Linked DNA regions of Diceros bicornis minor. The protein of the gene in region 1 interacts with the protein of each later gene in a biochemical or structural test. Links are inferred from orthologs where the notes say so. Each region holds a gene or a part of one and is shown in the gene's direction. Other genes may lie near its edges. The genes, in order: CACYBP and S100A6.

Region 1 (11,981 bases):
ATAAATATGTCTTCTGCATTTTCTTTTAATTCTCAAAAGATTATAATGGCAATCTATAGATTTTTTTTTTTCTTCTCCAGTTCCATATCATTGTTGGGTGTGTGTATTGGTACCATAAATCTAAACTGTCCCTCACTGTAATGCCTTTGGGTCAGTAGCAATAGTAAAAGATAGAAAGGAAATTCAAAACTTGGTATATGATATGATTATTTATACAATATGTTATAAGAGCTCTATCCCAAACCACATGTCCTTCACCGTGTGTTTTGAAAATTCGTGCATCCCAGCATTAACTGCTAGTTTTAATTTCACTTATTGCGAAATGTATTTGAGAACTGCTTTTTCTCTTGATTTATTTTAGAAAGAGATCAACAAGCCCAAATATCCAGGAAATTTTCAAATATTCTACAGTGTTTTCCATCTTTTCCTAGGATATGTTGTATAAAACATTCCTCCAAAAATCCAACATTTGCAACATTCTGAAAAGGGATGATTTCTCTTTTCATTAAATTCTGCAGAATAAATTAAGGGAATGAAATTCAATTTGATAATTCAGTTCATTAGCTTTTATATCTTGAGAATCTTGTTTAACACGTTCTTTAAAGCTGAAAGAAACCAGGCTGAATTTTGCAGTGCATATGTTTGCTAGCTTCCCACATCCTGAGCCATGACAATTTGGTTATATTTAGTTACATATCATTTAATGCAAAGAATTCTCAGTTACCTAATGTTCTGTGTATGAATGCCTATCAGAAACACTAACAGGAATGTCACATAGGCCTATGGCCTATCTTTCCGTACAACCAATCTCTTTCTTCGCCTCTCCCAGCTATTAAGTTAGTAATTTTCATGGCTTTCTTAAATTTCCATAGTAAAGTAGAAAACCAATCTTTGCACTGATGTTGGGAAGTTTAATAGCATTTATCTTGTATCTTTTTTTTTCAAATTTTTCATTCTTTTATACTATGTATTAATATTTGTTTTTCTCAAACCCCTACTCCATTTTCCTAAAATATTTTCCAGTTAACTAGTGGCTTCATTTCCTAGCAAAAGTGAGAAAAACAAGAGAATACACAGTTTAGGGCACAAGAGATGAGTCAGATTCTTAAAGGAGTTGATTAGTTACTGAGGATGAGAATCACATATGTAACTAATGTAAGGGATTGAGTTTTCTTTTTCTTTAGCTGAAATCAGTCTACTCTTCTGCTAAAGTTTTTGTCTGATTTCAGGACCCCTTTAAGGGAAAGGAACTTTTTAAAAAAATTAAATATCTTGTTTGTTTTCTCTCTTTGGGAAAGAACACTTTGAATTACTTAGCAAGATGACTCTATTGTATAACTTAGTCTTAAAAAAAAACACACTATAAAATAGCCCTGATTTTTTTGCTTCAATTTCAAGTAAAAGAGAGAATGGAAAAACTCTGTTGTTTGATTTGAACACTATTGGGTGTGTGTGTGTGTGTGTGTGTGTGTGTGTGTGTGTGATTGATAGACTTTTATACAGAGGATCCTTGCCTCTTTTGTATACCCAGGTACCATGCAACTGAATACACACACAGCGATCATATGCAGAAGGCCAGACAACAGCATGGTGGCCTGTTTCCAACTACCAGATATAAAACTCTCTTTCCTCTAGTTGCCATGCTTATGATCACATTGAATTAGAACTGCTCCAAAACATCCTTCCTCTCTCACAGTGGCTTCCATACAATAGATGCAAAGCCCTTTACCTTAGGAATTTCCTTATCTTTCAAAAGTTACCCAAATGAATCCTTTAAGTGTGGGCTGCACCTCAATAGGAGATGACGATCTTGAGTTGTAATGAGAAAAGTGGATGTTTACGAGTAGCTTAGTGACTACAGTCAGCTGTTAGGTGGTGCCTTCTCAGCTTCCGTCTAAAAGACTACCTGTCAAGGTTATCTCCAAATGAGTTTGCTACCCGCTATAAAAACATCTTCATCAACATGTCCCATTCTCCCACCTCCATCCCTGGTTCAGCATTAGTGGTACTTTGAAAACTTTAATCTAAGAAAAAAGAATCATTGAGTAGAACATTTTAGGACATTTTAGGTTACTTTCCTTTTGCATTGGCAATAAGTTAACATGTAAAATCTTTTCCATTAAAATGTAACTTTTAATAACTATATATTATATATGGAATAAACTATAGGAAACTGAATTATAAGGATATAAATGCATCAAGACTCTGGTGTCATGAAAGCACAAGAATAAAGCTGGAGATGGTCCCAGAATCCAAGATGTCCCAATAGCCTTTTGTATCAGTTTCTCTATTTTTGGTATTTTGCATAATGTATGGATCCTTAGTTCAAATGAGGGAAAAAGTTTCTCAGTCAGCCCCACTTCCTTTTCTTCAACTCCTACCTTTCCCTGCCTGAGGAGGTAGTAGAAATTCTGTGCCACCTATTTTTATGAATTCTATGATTTTGTCCACAGCCTCTCTAATGAAAACAGGTTCTAGAATAAAGGAGTTGATTAGCCCAAACTTCGCTAATTGACTACAAAAGAAACAGCAGCATCTCTCCTCTATAAACATTGACCAATTAGATGTTTTCATAATTCCATGTATTATGTATAGTACACTCTGTAAATGTAAATGTAATGCTTGTTAAGAAAAGTGCAATTTATTGTACATTGTCCCAACAAATGTTTACTTTTATAATTGGTATGAACTTGAATTGAATTAGTATCTTGTTTTCATGTGTGAATGAAGCCTTGTGAAATAAACAAATACAACCAAGAAGGTAACAAGGTGGCTGTTTTTGTGAGCCAGTGATGTTTTCAGTGCTTTGTGTTGCCCTTTTGAAAGGCCCCATTAAGCAGTAATAAACATTTGTTCTGAAGTCCATATATGTCTCTCTGATTTTTTTCTAGTTGATTTTATTCTGAATCATCTGAGCCCAGTGTTTATGTAACACTTCTTATCTGATACTAGACTCTAGTCAACTTGGAAAGAAAAAAATAGACAGGTGTTTGCTCCAGGCTATTCCCTGCAAAATGATACCCTGTACATCAGCACTGGAAAGTGCACTAGTTGCCTCTCGACAGAGATTCCCTGGTTGCAAGTAACAGAAACTCTCTCAAGCTAGCTTAATAATAATAAGGCAATTAATTAAAAGGAAATAGGGATATTTATCTCACAGATACTAACGACCAAACACTTGTTCCTGAAGAGGCACTGGACAGGGGACTGGAATGCCATCAGGAGCCCAAGCAACTCTTCTCTTAATTGCTCGTCTGCTTGTCTGGCCAGGTGATGCTTATCTGCTGCTGCTTCTCTCTCTCAAAACAAGTTTTCCCTGCTTCTGAGTGTACAACTTCCAAGTTTACGTATCCTCTCTAAAAGTGATCAGCAGAGATGGACTAGCATCTCAGGGGCCCAATTCCAAAACCTTGCACAAATCTGATTGGCTAATCCTGCATTAGGTGTCTGCTGCTAGTCTTTCAGGGTACAGCACAGTGACAGCATAGAATCAGACAGCACTCCAGAGGCTTCATGGAGCCGGAGGCAGGGCACAGAGAATCCTGATTCACATTTTGTTCTAATTTCCATTTTCTGAGAGTGAATGAAACCTAAGTAAGAGCTAAGAGATTAGTCAGCTCCTCTTAGAATTCAGCATATATTTAAAAAATATTAATCAGATATTCTAAAATTACAGTTGGTGGCCCAAACCCTGACCACAGACAGCTTGTTTTGGCCCATGTGATATTCTAAAGGAGAAATTTTATGTAAAAAGTAAAGGAGTCAAATTATTCAGAAAATATCTACTGAATTTGGCAGTTATGAGGTCATGAGTGGTCTTGACATGAACAGGAAGTGGAACTCACTGCTCACTATTGATTCAAGGTCCTACACTTAGTGAAGTTACATGGTAACCTCCAGATGTTGGTACAGGAGGGATGCAGATTTCTACTTTCCAGTGGAAGAGGTAACTCCAGAGGTCATATGTAGTTTATTACCCTGTAGGACATTAACCAGTTTGTATCTAACTTCACAACCTTACACTAACATTCCATTGTTAAATTGTCTGTAAGTACCCAGCTTTGCAAAGGCACTTTGATAACAGTTTTAACATCTTATTGGTTCCCTCGTTAACTAATGAGGCGAATACAACGTTTGGCTTGGTCTTGGGTGGTAGCAGGGGAGCTTGTGAGAAGTGGTTTGATTTCTAGACATATTTTGAAGGTAAAGCCAGCAAGACTTGCTATACGATGGGAGGTAGGACCTGAGACTGAGACTTATGACTCCTTGGCATGAGCAGTTAACGAGCACGAGCTGACTAGGCACAGAGCTGGAGAAGAATTGGAGGAACTGATTTGGGGTGCGAGGATGAAAAATTGGGAGGAGGAGTTTTTTTTGTTTTTTAGACAAGCTGAATTTCCTCATTCTACATCCAAGCAGAAGCCAAGTCTGGAGCTCAGAAGCATAGTGGAGCTGAAGATATAGATTCAGGAGTCACTGGATAATAAACAGTATTTCATATCTCATGACTTTAGGATATGTGGGGGGAGGAGTTGCCCCAGGTGCATAATCAAGCAAATTTCAAAATCACTGCATTAGGTCAAGCTTTCACACAGTGCAATGGGATATTTGTTCCTATTAAGTACCTAAATAATTCCAAGCTTTCCGGTGGACATTTTTTAAAAAACTGACATATAATATACAATAAAAGCACAGATCTTAGGAGTTCATTCTATGAATTTTGACAACTGTATGTGTGTGTAACATTTCTATCATCTCGGGAAAATTCCCTCCTGGGCCTACTTAAATAACTTGTAGTTAAGCATAACATACAAAAGGAACTACACAAATGTAAGTTTACAGCACAATGAAATTTCTACAAAGTGAACACACCTGTAACCAGCATCCAACTCAAGAAACAGAACATTATCTGAACCTCAAAAGCTCCCTCGCGGCTCCTTTCTATCATGGTCCTCCCCACCCCAGGAAGGACTATCCTGATTTTTAACACTCTAGGCTAGTTTTACTGTTTTTAGACTTCATTTAAATGGAACCAAACGATATGTACTTTTCTATGTCTGGCTTCTTTCCTTGAACGTCATGTTTGTGAGATTCAGGCACGTTGTGTGTGGCTGTAATTTGACTATTTTCGTACTGTACTTCTGATTCCTCTTTACTACGATAACGGTCAGTCTGCATTTTCCTAGTAGCCTTTTTCCTTCTCTGACTTGCTGATCCTACTCGCTATCTTGCGTGACACATAAAGCTGAGTGCAGGCTATCTGACTTCTCAGAGATTACTGTTTATGTTCTCAACCATGTTGCAGAAATCATGAGGCTGCAAAAGGCTAAAATGGTCCGAAAAGTGGGTTTCTCAGGGGCCTTACTAAGCGGGGCTGCTGGAACCAGAAGGGGGGCAGAATGCAGGCCCGGGAAAACTCAACCCACATTTTCTCTGATGCTAACAGGCTCACTTAAAACGAATCCAAACCCGGGTGAGAACCAGAGACTCGCAGAACAGTTGGTCAAGAGGGCGAAGGCACCAGGGAGGGGCTTCGACAGTCACGAGGGAAAGGCGGAAGCACAATAACCGTCGGAGGGCGAGGCGCCTCGTACGGGAAACCTTAACCCTCGGCTGCGACATGGGGTCCGGTCACGTAGCGAACTCAACCCCACCTCCCAGCGCAGCCCTTGATGACGCCGCCACGTCGCAGATGCTAAATCGTGGTGATGTCTCCAGAGCGCCAGAACCCACTGAAAAACCAAAGGAGCCCCCACACTTAACGTCCTCGTTCGTTCCCGTTTTAAAATAAATAGGCTGCCCATGCTCCCCCTTATTTCGTCCTTTCCTCGCAAAGGCTCACAGACTACCCCCAGACAAAAATGCCTGCCTCGTTGGCCCGGTGTCCTAGAGGGGACGGAAGCAGCCGCCTCTCTAGGCAACTTCCGATTTGGACCCCGAAGATCGGTACGTTACTTCCGGGGTGGGGTTAAGGTACGGAAGGCAGTGGTTCCGAGCTGCGACTGCGCAGCCGGGGCAAACGGGGTCAAAGTATTAAACGTTCAGTTCCCGGGGCGGAGAGGAAGAGGCGTTACTCTTCTCGAACTGTCAGTTTGCTCGCGAGAGTTGAGCGTTGCTACGAGGTTCGGCGGGCGGAGCGGGCCAGGCTCGGCTGGGCGGGGCTGAGCTCAGCGGGCGGCGCTCGGGGGGCGGGGAAGCGCGGCGACGGGCTCGCGAAGGTTCCAGAGGCGCCGCGTGCGGGAGGCGGGCCGCGGTCTCGCGCAGGGTCGGGTGTGCGCACAGGCTGCGAGCCCTGCGACTCGTGCCCGCGGTCTGCGCTCGGCGGAGCGCGCTCGGGGCGGCGTTTCCTGCTCTCCCTGGTGCGTCTGCAGCCCCGGCCTCGCGTGACCCAGCCCGGCCATGGCTTCAGCTCCGGAGGAGGTAAGGGGCCGGCCTCGCCTTCCTCCCGGCCCTGCTGCGGCTCTCAGCGCCCCCGCCCGTGCTGAGCTGCCCCGGGGGTCCCCGCGCTTCGCTCGCGCACCTGCAGCGGCGCGTGGTGCCGCCCGGCCCCGCGGGCCTCCGCTTCCCGGGAAAATCGCCGCTCGGCCCCGGCCCGCGCTCAGCGGGCCCTCCGGAGGGTGGGGAACGGGGGTGTGTCGTGAGCCTCGGCGCCGGCGGTGCCGCTGGTGGCCTGGAGCGCGCCGGTCACCGTCGCGTTTTCCTCGGGCCCTTCCGCTCCCGTTATACGGGCCCGAGGACGGAGGGCCTCGTTAAATTAAAGCTGATGGCCAAACCTGGGTGTCGTTGCGTGCTGGGAAGCCCTGGGAAGGTGAGCAGTCTTGGGTCCCAGCACTTGGATTCTCCTCGTGTCTTCTCTACACGGACGACCAGCTCTGTGACTTTGGGCAGGTGACGGTGCTGCGCCGTGCCGCAGGAGTATCCGTTTCCGAGGGTGAGAAGGACGGAGTGCTTGTTGTAAATGTTGAAAACAGTGCTGGGCGCAGAGCAGTCTGCTATATGCGTTTTTAAAAGTAAATACATTGGAAAGTTGTAACTAGCGGTAGGAAATAGTCTTTTTCTCTTTTAAGCTCGATGAACTCTGAACAGGGGCAGCTTAACTTGTTTGCAGACGTAGTTTGCGCGGGTACAAAATGGGAATAATGATTCTTGCGTCGCTCTTCCTGGCCTGAGTAGCCTGTCAATACCTAACACTTATTCACAGTGAAGTGTTGGGTGTGTATTAACTGGATTTGTTTTCTGGAAATTTTTTCCTCAATATGAACAAGCCTGAGAAATCTCAAATAAATCTAAGAAGCTGCCTAAAATGAAGAAAAGGTGTGTATGTGTTTAGTATTATTCTGAATAACTTCCACGAGTTTGTTGTGATAGAGACAGGACTTGGGTTACCATGGGCCCCGAGGAAGAATCTCTGAAGTGACTTGACAGTCATACCTATGGGGAGCTCAGTGTTAATCTTCTTCCAAGTAAGGGACTTTCTCAATTGAGGTACTTAAAAATATACAGTTAGGGACACTTGGGGGGGGAGTGTTTTAGATAAAATTCACTGTAACCATTTTAAAGTGTACAATTTAGTGCTTTTTAGTATATTCATAGTGTTGCACAACCATCACTAACTACAGAATATTTCATTACCCCCAAAAGAAACCTAAGTGTCCATTAAGCAGTCACTCCCCATTTCCCTTCCCCCCGCCCCAGCAAGCACTAATCTACATTCTGTCTCTATGGGTTTGCCTATTCTGGGCACTTCGTATATATGGAGTCTTAGAATATGTGGCCTTTGCTTTTTGCCTTCTTTCACTTAGCATAATGTTTTCAAGTTCATCCATGGTGTGGCATGTATTCCTTTTTATGGCTGAATAATATTCCATCGTATGGATTTAGCACATTTTGTTTATCCATTCATCATTGATGGGCATTTGGATTCTTTCCACTTTTTGGTTATTATGAACAATGCTGCCAGGAATACTTGTGTAGGACTTTTTACGTGAATGTTATGTTTTCAGTTCTCTAAGGTTTATACCTAGGAGTCGAATTGCAGGGGCATATGATAACTAACTCTCAGAAACTGATAAACTCTTTTCCAGATGGCTGCACCATTTTACATTTCTACAAGCAATGTATGAAGGTTCCAATTTCTGCACATGCTTGTCAACACTTATTATTTTCTGGGATTTTGTATTTTGTTGTTGACGTTAGCCATCCTGGTGAGTGTGAAGTGGTAGCTCACTGTGGTTTTGATGTACATTTCCTTAATGACTACTAATGTTGAGTATCTTTTCATGTGCTTGCTGGCCATTGTATGTATCTTTGGAGAAATGTCTAAGACCTTTGCCCATTTCAGAGCACTTTGGTTTTAATGCCTTCTAGTGAAGAATTTGTAAATAGATTAGACGATAAAGCTTGAATGTTTGTGGAAAGGGAAATGCAGTTTGCATAAGGAAAACAGATGAATGCCAAGATCAGTTAGATGAGAAACTGCTGTAGCTAAGAGCTCTTAAAGTGTGTGTGCAGGAAAAGCACCAGAGGGATCGCTCTTACTGGTTTCAGGTCTGCCAGTAACAGAACAGAGGAGTTACCTGAACCAGGCCTGCTGTAAGACCTCGCTGGTGTACTACTTCAGAGCCAAAACTGGCCAGAAAGGGGGCCTGGGAATCTCGTGCTTCATTCTGAGTTCTTTTCTGAATCTCCAACAGAAAGGATTCCTGTTCTAGTCAAGAAGTAAAACGCCTTGTTTAGACTTGATACATTTTCCTTTCTTTTCTTTTTTTAACTCTAGGAACAGGTATACTCATTTTACATTTCATTACTTTTATCATGTTGGTATTAGAATCAATGTGAATTTTTTAAAACCATTATAATAAAAAAGATTGCTTTGAACTAAAGCATCTTGGTTCTATGCTCAAAAGATGAGTTTGTAATTATTTTCGTCTTAGTAATATGATTTTGGGGGAGGGCGTAGAGTATGGACAGTAGACTGGGCCCAGTTGGATTCTGTACTATGTTATCAGTTGCAGACAGGTGAAACAGGGCATCTCAGTTAAATGAGATAATATAAGGCTTGGGTAAAAGAAAAGCATTCGTTTTTCTGTTACTGCATTTTATAAGACTATTAAGAAACAAAGGCCCGGCCCCGTGGCTTAGCGGTTAAGTGCTCGAGATCCACTGCTGGCGGCCCGGGTTCGGATCCCGGGCGTGCACTGAGGCACCGCTTCTCCAGCCATGCTGAGGCCGCGTCCCACATACAGCAACTAGAAGGATGTGCAGCTATGACATACAACTATCTACTGGGGCTTTGGGGGGAAAATAAATAAATAAATAAATTGTTAAAAACAAAAAAAAAAGAAACAAAGACTTTCAAACTCAGTGTTTAGGATATTATACTGAGTTATCAAGCATTTGAAGATTTTTATATTGAGCCTTTCGTGTGATCTCAGGCTGTGATGTAAGAGTCTTCCTGTCAGATTGCTAGTATCAAGCCAGAATGTAAAGTTATTTTAAGAAAAAGGAATACCTTGTTTATAAAGATCTTATGCATTTTGCAGTATGACAGGATAACTGGGAAAACATTTTTAAGACCATTAATTTTCTCACAGTCTCTCTAACTCTTGAACTTCATAAAATGTTGGCTCTATTGCTAGAAAATAGAAACAAATTTTGGGAGGCCATGTATTGGTATGAGAAGAAAAGGGCAGGTGCGTTTTCAGTGATCCAGGAGGGTATCGCATATCGGAGTGTTTGCCCAGGTTTTTCCCTCCATTGTGCAACCACGTCCCGGACTTCTGACTGGAAGATGAACCTGAACCTTCAAAAACAAGATTTTTTGAAAGCAGGAATATGTCTTTATTTTTTTCATCTTGTCTTAAAAAATTCGAACTTTTTGTGTGTAATCTCTGGGTAGGAAGATCAGTGAGGACCAGTCACTGACAGCAGGTGGAGGGTTACCTCAGGCGAGTTGCCGTGGCATTTCCCCACACTCGTCATGTAGTCACGCATCTTTTTTATTTTAATATTTTAAAAACTCCCAATACCTGATGACTAGGACTTGATGTTACAAGGAAATTCATGAACTCTTTTTTGTTTTTTTTAAGATTTCTTTATTCTAGTTTATAAATCACAAAAGTATCTTGTAAATAAAATGTTCTAAAACAAAGGCAGATAACAGTCTACTAAACTGGAAAATTTAGGTTTGATTACGTACTGTTACTTCAAGATTAAGTTTTCCTTTAAGAAAAAAAAAAAAGGAGGGGCCGGCCCCGTGGCTTAGCGGTTAAGTGCTCACGCTCCGCTGCTGGCGGCCTGGGTTTGGATCCCGGGCGTGCACCGACGCACTGCTTCTCCGGCCATGCTGAGGCCGCGTCCCACATACAGCAACTAGAAGGATGTGCAGCTATGACCTACAACTATCTACTGGGGCTTTGTGGGGGAAAAAAAAAAGGAGGATTGGCAATAGATGTTAGCTCAGAGCCGGTCTTCCTCAGCAAAAAAAAGAGGAGGATTAGCACGGATGTTAGCTCGAGGGCTGATCCTCCTCACAAGAAAAAAAAAAGAAAAAAGAAAAAAAAGGAAGCTTGAGTTATTTACAATTCAGTAGGCTGGAGGAAAGAATCCAAGGTATAACCCAACTCTAGAAAATTTAAATGAACCTCTTAATTCTTAGCTCTTATTTCAGTAAATTGAAATAAGCAGTAGGTACAATATCAAACTATTACCTTCTTTATCATAGCTAACTTATCTTTTATTTTAATACAGCTACAGAAAGATCTAGAAGAGGTGAAGGTGCTACTGGAAAAAGCCACTAGAAAAAGGGTACGTGATGCCCTTACAGCTGAAAAATCCAAGATTGAGACAGAAATCAAAAACAAGATGCAGCAGAAATCACCGAGGAAAGCAGAACTTCTTGACAATGAAAAGCCAGCTGCTGTGGTTGCTCCCATTACAACGGGCTATACCGTGAAAATCAGTAATTACGGTATGACTTGCTCCCCTAAAATCCAATTCTTTCTGCCTGCAGGCAACATAATTCCTCAGTAGTGACCCACTAATAAACTTAATTTTTAAAATAGTTTTGAGTGTGTGTTTTGGTGGTTTGAAAGAGGCCCCATCAATTCTTATTTAATAAGATACTTTTTAAGAGATGAAAAAGGAAAGGATGCATTCTAGAAGCTTTTAACAAAAGAGCAAGATGATTTAGTACAATGATGAGTAGCAACAAGAAGGAACCTATTCTGAAATACATTCAGTATATATGGAACACAGCTTTTTGTTCTGTTTTCACCCTGTTTTGCATTTCACTTTGCCAAACCACCACCAATATTAACTGAGGAGAGGAATCCAGTTAAATTCAAGAAACATTTTTGAGCATCTAGTGTGTGCCACTCTTGTGCTTGGACTCATGGATACACAGCAGTGACCAAGACCCAGTCCCTGCTTATGATGTGGTTGGGACCCAGCCAGAGCTAATACCATAACAATGTAATAATACCATTTCCCCTCAACAGATGGTAAACTTTTTTGTTCTGGAAGCAGTGCGACTTGAATCTGAGTGAGTGATGAGCTCTCGTGAGGGCAGGGGCAGTCTTGTTCTTTGTGCTCACAATATCTAGCACTTAGTAAGTACTTATAACTGTTCGTGTAACTGAACTGAATAAAGTTTTATGGGAATACAGCTGATGAAATAATTCTGCTGGAGGTGAGGAACAGTCTGAATTAGAAAAGGTGTTTGAGTTTGAAGGGTGAGTTCAGCAAGGGTGAGAAAGGAAAGGGAATGACATGAGCAAAGGACACAAATAGACATGAAAGGCATCATGTATTTTGAGTATTGTCATAGTGGAGGGCAATGTGTGTCGTGCCGAAGAGAGGTACTATAGGAGATACGCTGTGTACTTAGTTGACTGTAGGAAACTGGTCTGAAGGTGGTAGGATTATGGTAGCTTAGTCAGATTGACAGCTTTGGATGAACTGGACTCTCTAAATTTATTTTC
Region 2 (10,437 bases), about 34 Mb from region 1:
AATATTGTCCTTATCTAACCCCCATCTCTGCCCTGAAGGTCCTGGGATGAGATCTGTTGTCAGTTCAGAATAGTGCTCCTACAAAGACGGACAAAGGACCTCAGAAGAGGAGGACGGTGGCTGGAGTGGGAGTGAGGGAGACCGTGAGAGATGACCATAATTTTGGAGACAGAATTCCAGACATATGAACTGATAAATGAAATTCAGACTTTTTCCCCCCCAGAAAATACCAGATATGATGTTGCTTTCCCTTAAACGCCAGTGGCTCCAGCGTGCAGTGGGTGGGATTGAGGTTAGACTTCCAGGCCATGCCTGGGTGATATGGGGACCTTTAAGAAGGAGGTGAGTAGAGGGCAGGTCCAGAGGCAGGGAGGGTTTTGTCCCCCTGAACTTTCAAGCATTCCCCTTTTCTTTTCATCACATTGTGTTTTTCTCTAGTTTCAGAGGAGTGGGGTGGGTGACTCAGATGTTCCTCCAGAGTGTGACTGCAGAGACTTGGGTAGAATTTTGGTCCAGGAAAAAGTTTGCCTCCCCGCCCCCCAGCGCCCTACTCTGCCCATCTTCCATGGGAGTGCCCTCCCCTGAGCCTCCTCCTGCATCACTCTCTACTTTGGAAACTCCTGTTGCTTAGTGACCAGTCCCTGCTGCCTCTCTAGCCTTGCCAACTGCTGGTGGGAGTGGAATGGAGGCTAGGGGGAGGACCCAGGCAGGCAAGGCAGGGTTGCAGCAGTGATAGATGCTAAGCCTCTAACTTGCTTCAGCTCTCATACGTGGACTGGTTGGTGGTAGAACAAAGTCTGAGTCTCTCCTGGGATACAGGCAACTCTCCCTGACCCTACCCCATTCATCACTGCACCCTGGACCTGCTCCCTGCAATCCACAACCTCTACCCCATCACCAGCCCTACCCTTCCCTGGATCCCCTCTCCAATCCCTAATTCTCACTCCTCTATTTCAAGAGTCTCTGACAATTGTCTCCCATGAAGATGAGTGAGATTTAGAAAAAATTGCTCATTTAAAAGCCCTTTAAAACCCTTAGGCTCCGGGGTCGGCCCCGTGGCTTAGTGGTTAAGTGCATGTGCTCCGCTACTGGCGACCAGGGTTTGGATCCCGGCTCTGCACCAACACACCGCTTGTCCTGCCATGCTGAGGCAGCGTCCCACATACGGCAACTAGAAGAATGTGCAACTATGACATACAACTATCTACTGGGGCTTTGGGGAGAAAAAAGGAAAAAAAGGAGGAGGATTGGCAATAGATGTTAGCTCAGGGCCGGTCTTCCTCAGCAAAAAGAGGAGGATTGGCATTTATGTTAGCTCAGGGCTGATCTTCCTCAAAAAAAAAAACAAAAACCTTAGGCTCCATTCTAGCTAATGACCCTGACCACGCCCTTGGCAGGAAACGTCTTCCCCCATTGATTCTCATCTCGAGGTGTGTGTGCTCCGCTCCTGCTGTGAGTGGGAGGGCTCCAGTGTGGAGAGCGGCCCAGGGCATGGGGAGCTACCCTGCATTTGGCCCACACTTCCTGGGTCTTCTTCCAGGACAGCCTACAGTCTCCTTCTCTAGCCTGCGCTCTCCTCCTCACTCATACTGTGAGCTCTGATTTTTGGTTGGGAAGACAAAGTTTCTGGGACCGAAGACGTGTGTGCCATGGTGAACTCAGTGTGCCCCCATCCTTGCATTTGGAAACAAGGAAGGTGAGATTGGTGGAGGGGGTTTCTCCCCAGCTGCATCCCAAGAGGCTCTGACTTGGGCCTCCTCAAGTCCCTGGCCCCTTCTCATTGGCCCTTTCCCTGCCCTGGTTTCCTGGGGACAGGAGCAATGGAACAAAGACAGAGAGCAGTGGGAGGGAGCCTGTTTCCGCTGCGTGGTTCTCCGGCTTACTCTTTCCTTGGTGAGTCCGTCCTTCTGATCTCCCTGCTCATCTATACGGTGGGGCAAGCTGGGTGATGAGACCAGAGGGTGACAAGATGTGGTGACCTCCACCAAGGAAGGCCTAGTCTGATGAACAGGCATGTGCTCAGGGAGGAGAGGGCAAGTATTTGGAATTGTGGCTATCAAAATTTCCTGAGAAGTGGATCTGGGGGTGGAGGTGGGCATCAGAACCAGCCAGGATGCTCCTGCAGCTACCTAGAGGTGCTTGCCTTCAACTGTGGTCCTGGCTGAGCCTCCTGGAGATGGGGAGAAGCCGAGGTTTGTGGGTGGTGGGAGATGAATGACAAGTCCAGTTCGAGAATTGTGAGGTGGGCTTTTGGCTGAAGGGAAGAGCCAGCAGCTTCTTCCTCCTTGCCCAAGACTCTACAGAGATTTACCTGCAGCCCCCAAGTCCCCTGGGTGTTGCCTCTTTCCTTCCTAAGGGGGAAGTGGTTTTCAAGTCTGAGTCACAGGAGCTCCAGCTGCTTCTTCCCTTCCGTGGGTGCAGCTGTGCTGATGGCCTGGAGGGCTCCATTCAAACCCAACCTCTAGATCCAGCTCTCAGAATGATCCTGGAGATTTCAACAGGCCCACCCTACTTGCTGCCTTGTGGCCAGTCTGAATGTGCAGTTCTCTGGGCTGGAGACTGAAGACCAGCTGGACAAGTCCAATCACTTCTCCCCAGTTTCCTGTCGAGACCCTATCTCCCAGTTCTAGCCCCAGCCCCCTCCCACCCCTGGACTCTCCCTGTGCCCTGTCCCCTACTTCTATAATGGGACACTTCCCAATATCAGATGATTCAGGCACCCGGGCCAAGGAGGGTGACTATGGTGAGGACTGTCTCTGGAAAACGAATGCCCAAGCTGGATGGGGCAGGGAGAAATCCTTACCCTTTATCTGCTCCACATCCGCCACCAGTTCTTCTTTTGGGGAGGTCATCCTATCATCCCTCTGCCCCTAGACCCCTTTTTCAATGTCTCCTAAGCAGGAGAGTGTGCAGTCTCCTGCGGGGCTGGTCAGTCTCACTGCTCTGGCTGTTCCAAGTTTGCCTTGAGTCTCATTCCAACCCATGCTGACACATTTGAGTCCACTCGTTGGTGGATTTTGGTCTTGTTATGGGTTCCAGTCTCTGGTCCTTGAGGGAAGGGCTTGGAGGTGGGCTAGTGATGGGGGGAGGAGAAGGTCTGTCTTTGCTGGGCCATGCGATTGTTTCCTTTCACTTCACCCTTCAGAGCCACATACCGTGATGGAGACTCCTCTTGAGAAGGCCCTGACCACTATGGTAACCACTTTCCACAAATATTCTGGGAGAGAGGGCAGCAAACTGACACTTAGTAGGAAGGAACTAAAGGAGCTGATCAAGAAGGAGCTGTGTCTTGGTGAGGTAGGTGACTGTCCCCCCCTTCCAAAGTCCAAGTGCTCCCTGTGGGTACCATGGAGGGTAGAACACCATGGACAGGGGCTCCCTAGTGTGAGGTGGGAGGCCCAGCTCTGCCTCCATAGACATCCAGCGTGAGGTGACACACACCTGCCCTCAATGTGCCATAATCTCAGCCAGGAGCAGGTTGGCCAAAAGGTACAGAGACCGAAGGAAGAGGGTGAGCATCTTGGGCCAACAGAGCTCTAGACCTCTGTGCTGGGGGTGAGTCAGGTTTCACTGCAAGGAGGAAGGGTGGCGTCTGGAGGGTGGACTACAGGCTGGGTGAGAGTTTAGAGAAGGAGATCAAGGAAGCTTCTATGTTGAGGCTAGGCCTGTGCAGCCATGGCGGAACCTGTGTGAGGGATCGTGGGGGATGAGGGGACCCAGGTGGTCCAGGTCAAGCTGTGCACAGCTCAAGGGCAGGGCCCCCACCTGATTCCCCTCCGTGTGCCTAGCACATCCAGGGCTCTCAGCTGGTGCTGACACAGAACAAAAAGGATCGTTCTGCTAGTTCGTGAGCACAAGGTTGGAAGGAGACCGAATTGATTCTTACCAGATGGAGATGGTGGGAGGGAGGTGACCGACAGAGGGGAAGGCCTATGAAGTAGTCATGATATTACTTTTACAATTAAAAAACAATCGAGGCTTAGATACATTATATAACTTGTCCAAAGATACCAGCTACTGCCAGGCTGAGCTGGAATCCCAGGCCAGGCCTGCGTTCACCTTCCCTTTTTCCTTTAAAATTCAGCATGGGGGGGACCTCTTCTGTCATATCCTGAACTCTGGTGGGCCTCCCCACAGAGAAGCTCCCTTGAGTTGCCCCTGTGGGCAGGGGAGAAGCAGGCGTGGGTGTCACCAGGCTTGCCCTCTGGCCTTCCTGCCAGGCTCTCTTCATCCTGGAGTTAATGAGGGCAGAAGGAGGAGCCATGGGCTGGCAGGGGTTAATTACAGGGGAACAGAGGCCCCGGGGACGGCCTGGCTATAATAGGAGCCCAGACTGGGGACAAAGATCACGTCACAGAGAGGCTGTTTCCATCTCTGTATGTCCCAATGTCCTGTCTCCTGTGGAAAAGCTGGAGCTGAGGGCCCTGAAGAGGGGAGGGCAGGACGTGTCTGTATTTTCTTCCTGTTCCACCAGAAGGCCCTGTCCCCATCCTCCTGGTGGAGCTGGGCTGGGAGGGCAGGGGACCAGATGGCGAGTAAGACTGGGTGCCAGGCACTCCTTTCCATTCCCCTGTCCTGTGAGCTCTCCTAGTGAGGGAGGACACAGTGGCTTCTCAGCTCCAGGACACTGCTCTCCTAGAGAGACATGTTGTCTGGGTCAGTTCTCAACTCTCCCCTACAGGGACAGAAGGAGTCGGAGATGTGGGTCATGCTTAGTGCCACATAACCACCAACCCGTGGCTGTTAGGTGTTGTATAAAATCTAGATTATTATTTCTTTGGATGGTGCAAAGTGTTGAGAGGAAGGGAGGCTGGACTAGCCTTCCTGTTGTAATTTATTTACATTCAGAATCAGGTCGCTGAGCCTGTGCTTGGTGCCAGGCTCTGTGCTGGGCATGGGCTGAGGGCAGACTCAGGGGGTCGAGATGCTCAGAGTGTTGCTGATTCAGCTGGGGACCACCCTGAGACTGCCTTCCCAGGGGACGGGTGGCACCATGCGGTGGTGGGGCAGGGCCAGGAGGGGTGGCTGACCTGTCCCTCTACCTGGGGCCTCGAAGAAGATGAAGGAGAGCAGCATTGATGACCTGATGAAGAGCCTGGACAAAAACAGTGACCAGGAAATCGACTTCAAGGAGTATTCAGTGTTCCTGACCACACTGTGCATGGCCTATAATGACTTCTTCCTGGAGGACAACGAATGACCGGGCTCAGCTCCTTGCCCCAGCCTCTGCGGCTCCTCTCACAGACCCTCTGTGGCCCCTTGCCCTCCTCTCCCTCCCAGATGGAACCTGCTTCAGCCTTCCCTTCCAGCAGAGGAAATAAAGATTTTCCATTCCAGGTGTCTGGAGGCTGGTTTTGAAGACGTCTTGTCCACCTTGACTGAGAGGTAGGGTGGGGCAAGGCAGAGCTTCTCCTTGAGTGGGTTGAGAGCCTCTGGGTGTTAGGGTCCTGGGCTTTCACTCCACTTCATGTCCTTCAGTGTGGACATCACTAAGCTTACCTAGGCTTAGTTTTGCCATTCTGGAAAACGGGGAGATTGGGCCAAGCTTTTGCTTGCCTCCCAGGAATGTTGCAAAGATGCAGAGAAAGCTAAGGGGGAAAGTGCTTTGAGAGAGAGGACACTGAGGGCAGTGTGGACAAGCCAGTCTGACTTGTCACCGGCTTACAGAAGGTCACATGCACCACTGGTATGAAGGGGAAGTCTGGCGTTTGGTTACAGGCCAGTCTCCCTTCCGTCTCCTCCACCCCGCCCCAACCCACCCCAGTCATCTCTGGGGTCCAGTGATTTTTGCTCTCCCCACCTCTCCCTATCAGAATCCTTTCTCAGGAGAGGACCTGAAAAACCTTTTCATTAGAGGGTAAATAATGAATGATGCTAACAGGGCTTGGCTCAGGTGTGTGTGCACATTAGTGGGCAAGAGGCTCCGGGTGGAATTCCAGGCAGGGGGGGAAGGGAGAGGGGGTGGTGGTAGGAATTTATTTTTGCTGGGCGATGGGTGTCCTAGATGTCCTTTAAATCATATCCTGTAGACCACTGGCTGCTCCCCTCCTTCATCTAGGGTTGACCCTGAACACCCTCTGGGGGCACCCTTCTCCATTCCCACCCCCCCAATAACCCCCCTTCTCCCCAGCCGCTCTAGCCGTCTACCTTCTCCCCACGCCGTGTCACGTGTCACGATGGTGGGCAAACCGAGCTATGGAGATTAAGGGGAGCTCCAGGTCACTGGGCTTGCAGTGGTCTCCGCTAGGGCCCCCCACCCCCTGGAATGTGGAACAGCCCCCGCGGCAGGAGGCGTGGAAAGTTGAGAGGGGCCGGGGGTGTGTGTGTTGTGTAAATCACGGGCGCGGGGTGGGGCGCGGGGCGGGCCCTGGGCGGGTTGGGTGGACGCACGGCCGCTATAAGGCGGCCGGGCCGGCTACAGAGTTCGTCACCGCGGACCGCTCCCTTCACGCTTCCTTGCAGCCCCGCGGTGAGTTCTCGCCGGCGCAGCGCCGGCGTCCTCGGCCTAGTCTGGCCTAAGTCTAGCCGCCCGCCGCCCCAGTCGGGCCGTTGCGGACTCCGCGGGCGGGACCGGCGCCCGGATCCCGAGTGCGGCCGTCTGTGGAGCTCCTGGGCCGGCGGGGAGGGTCAGAAGCGGCGGGCTGGCCCCGGGCTAGGCATGCGGTGGGGCGGCTCCCCGCGCTCTTCTGGGGTGCGGGAGGGTGTGTCCTGGGACTGTCAGCGCCGCAGTGTGGCCTTGTGAGGCTGTGTGTGTAGGGCTGGGTGTGCTGCCCCTACCTCCCCGCCCCCCATGCTGCCTATGCTCCCCAACTTCTTCTGGAACCCCTGGGGTTCTCAGCTGTGGCCCTGTTTGCTCTTTAGAATCCTTATCTCCTCTGGCCCCCCCTCGAGCTGCTGATCTCGAACCTAGAGTCTGTCCTCTCCCTCCCCTTCAAGCCCTGGGCTATCTCCTGAGGCCACCTGTATGTGCCTGAGGCTGGGTGGTTCAGGCAGGGTACTCAAAGGGAGTGGGGGGAGTGGGGGACAGAACTCTTGGGGGTTGGGTGAGTGAGAAGGCCCTGCTGCCCAGGGCACTGACGAGCCCCTCTGCCCCCAGCTCTGAGTCCAGCCCTCAGCCATGGCGTGCCCCCTGGATCAGGCCATTAGCCTCCTCGTCGCCATCTTCCACAAGTACTCCAGCAGGGATGGTGACAAGAACACCCTGAGCAAGAGTGAGCTGAAGGAGCTGATCCAGAAGGAGCTCACCATTGGCCCTGTGAGTGAGCCTCCCCAAGCCCTTCTTCCCTCCTCTGGCCCTGCAGAAGCAGGATTAGGAGAGGGGGACGTGCCAGGGGCATCTGACTCACATTTATCTAACTTCTGGGGCCCTTCTCCACATGCCTCACTGAGCCCATTGGTCCACTCCCTTGAGGGGGTGGGGGATACTCTCAGCCTGGTATTCACTCCCCCTGAGCAAGGAGCAGGAGCAGAGGGGAAGTGAAGCCAAGTGAACCCAAGGTGGGCAAGTGAGCACAGGGCCACTTGTCTGAGAGAGGGCTGCCTGGGAGGGGGAAGGGAGAGGACCCAGGGTTCTCATCACCACTCAGTCTGGATTTCCCATTCTAACGCATTAGGAGCTGCAGGACGCGGAAGTTGCAAAGCTGTTGGACGACCTGGACCAGAACAAGGACCAGGTGGTGAACTTCCAGGAATATGTCACCTTCCTGGGGGCTTTGGCGATGATATACAATGAAGTCCTTAAGGGCTGAAAATAAATTGGGAAGGTGGAGACACACTCTCGAGGGCCTGTCTGAGTCAAATCCAGTGGTTGTTAATTGTACAATAAATATTTTCTTTTGGTCAAATCTACGCCTGTGTCCTGGCTTCCCGGTGATTTCTGTTTTCTCCTTCTTGCACTAGCACCACCCTGCACCAGGGTTTGTTCACAGTCACCTCTGGGAGTGACTCAGCGACTCACCAGGCCGGGGTGGGGGGTGCGGGGGGGTGGGGTGTGTGGTGCGGGGTGGGGAGCCGTGGGGAGTGTGTTGAGAAGCTAGAGCTGGTGTATTGATTTAAGAATATGCAGATTATGATCTGCTGACTGAGGAGGCACAAGCCACCCACAAGGGAGCAGCAGGTAGCTCCCTCAGCATCCTAAGTCTCACTTTGGGGAGGTGAAACCCACAGGGGTCGTTTTGATTGAAGGCACAGTTTCAATACATCTACACAAAGGAAGTGGAGTCTACTACTACTTACAGATGCCAGAAGCGAGGGGGTGCCATGAGCCGGGGGAAGGGCAGTCCTCTGTCCCAGGTCACAAGCCAGCCTGAGATAGAGAGCAGGGTAGCAAGCACCTATTACGTATAACGTGAATAATGGGGCAGAGGTCACTAACTTTTTGAGGGCTTCACTCTAAGTGGTTATTTTAAAAGGTGCTCTGGGGGCTGGGCCGGTGGTGTAGTGGTTAAGTTCGCGCGCTCTGCTTCAGCGGCCCGGGTCCACAGGTTTGGATCCTGGGCCCAGATTTACACATTGCTCATCAAGCCATGCTGTGGTGGCATCTCTTATACAAAATAGAGGAAGATGGGCACAGATGTTAGCTCAGGGCCAATCTTCCTCACCAAAAAAAAAAAAAAAGGTGCTCTGGGAAAAGTAAAGCAAGAACTTACGGCAGGAATCCTAAGCTCAAGTCCTTATCTAAAAGATGTGAGCAGGGTTATCCTACTGTGAAATGCTGAGGCAGCATCTCTGGAAAACAAAGTTGTTTTTCTCCTCACAGAGGGTCCACACGATGGTGGACTCACCCTGACAAGGCCTCTGCTGGCTCATAAGGTGCCTTAGAAAAGATGGCCCCTCCGGACAAAGTCGTCTTAAGGGAAGGCTCGAGTGGTCCCCGGTAGAGAGGGTTCTGGGATGGACTTGGAGAAGAAAATCGTGCCTGAGCCAGGCTGTGATGGGTCCAGAGTGGGGCGGAGATAGTCCTAGGGGGGTTCCTGAAGATGAAGACATGTTTTAACTTTGGGTGTGATGGGAGGGGAAGGATGGAAGGGCCATGGGGCGAGGCTGGTCCACTTTCTCATCACAGTGAAGTGTGGGCAGAGAGGGCACAGCCGGCATGCCCAAAGCCTGGGGGGGAGCATTCTGTCTGAGACCACCGAGGATGCTGTGTGGCTGGTTCACTGTGCTGCCTGGGCCCCAGTCGAAGGCAGGAGGCACGCTTTAGGAGTCTGTCCCTGCATTCAGGGACAGGGTCCTTTGCGTTGAGGGATGTGGTCTGAAGAGCTGGCAGCTGCACGAACACATGAATCATGGGGTGCTCATGAATGGGGCCGGGTGGGGGTCTCTGGGGCTGGGCCCACCACAGCTTCAAGCCTTTCAGTCAATATTGAACCAGCCCATCCCTGCATCCTTAGCAGAATGAATCACCCCAGTTATCCCATTAGAGCCAAGACTGGCTCTCAGTCCCCATTCGGGAAGATGACTAATTGTCTGAATTATTGTCTGAGTCCATTGTTTGCATTAATGTTTTCAGACAGGGAGGGTGGGCGGCAAGGGGGTAAACTGTGTCTCAGGGTGATGGGGCATCTGTCCCAGTTCTCTCCCCTCCAGGCCTAGTCTGAGCCAGGCAGGTTCTTCTGTAGGGACCTCAGAGGGAGATCATATCCTCTTTCCCCTCTTACTCACCTCCTCTCTTCCCTGAGGGCCCAACTGTGCGGAATTAAGTCATCTTCTTCCTCCATGGGGTGGGGATGACTGAACAGTCCCCAGGGGGCTGGAAGCATCACCTTTGGAGTTCCTCCTTCTCTAGTTGCCTCCCCTGCCCCACAGGGCATAGGAACTGGCACTGTCGTGAAGCAGGAAGGGACCCAGGGCCTAAGCTCCCGGCCTGCACAGCCATGTCCAAGCCTTGGCTCCATTCAACTCCTGCGGGAAATGTACCTTCCCGGCCTGCAGTGGCCGGCAGTTTGGGGTGTGGAGTGAGCCGGTGTGTGGGCAGAGAGCAGGAAGCTGTGGGGAGAGTCTGGGTTGGTTTTCTCGAATCCCAGGGAAGAAGCCAACGGTGGTGGTACCAGAGCCCTGGCCATCAGGGAGCCCTTCCTCTGAAGAGGGAGACAGGACTTGGATGCCCAGGGAATGTCAGCAGGGGGACCTTTTGGCTCTGAGCAATCAACCCCCCAAAAACGAACTCAACTTCATCTAAGACACACCTACCGTGAGCAAGTCAATGAAGGGAAGGGGTTTGCAAAGACAAATAGAATCTGAACCCTGCCTCTCCCCTCCCCCACCTTCAGGGGCGAGAAGACCTTGGTACAAAAGAGGGAGGAGGAGTCGTTTCAGTGGGTGAAGATCGGCTGCCGCTGGGAGGGGCTGCTCAGGCAAGGCAGTCAACCCAACGCTTCCCGGGAGCTCTGGTGGGTGCGCAGGCCAGGATGTTGAAGAGGATCAACAAACGTTCTC

The links.
Region 2: the proteins of CACYBP (region 1) and S100A6 are reported together in a solved structure, tested with the Homo sapiens proteins (2 studies listed by BioGRID and IntAct, with this or other methods). The link is inferred for Diceros bicornis minor from reciprocal best matches to the Homo sapiens genes CACYBP and S100A6.

The regions. Positions count from the first base shown.
Region 1 is NC_080743.1:91,510,913-91,522,893, reverse strand, and holds the start of CACYBP (calcyclin-binding protein), read left to right. Parts: upstream 1-6,253; 5' UTR 6,254-6,399; coding exon 6,400-6,420; intron 6,421-7,265; exon of another isoform or gene 7,266-7,314; intron 7,315-10,749; coding exon 10,750-10,969; intron 10,970-11,981. UniProt on the Homo sapiens protein: May be involved in calcium-dependent ubiquitination and subsequent proteasomal degradation of target proteins. Probably serves as a molecular bridge in ubiquitin E3 complexes. Participates in the ubiquitin-mediated degradation of beta-catenin (CTNNB1).
Region 2 is NC_080743.1:57,774,401-57,784,837, reverse strand, and holds S100A6 (protein S100-A6), read left to right. Parts: upstream 1-6,377; 5' UTR 6,378-6,469; intron 6,470-7,096; 5' UTR 7,097-7,117; coding exon 7,118-7,255; intron 7,256-7,613; coding exon 7,614-7,748; 3' UTR 7,749-7,848; downstream 7,849-10,437. Other genes in the region: S100A5 (protein S100-A5), read left to right, coding at 3,160-3,297, 5,057-5,200. UniProt on the Homo sapiens protein: May function as calcium sensor and modulator, contributing to cellular calcium signaling.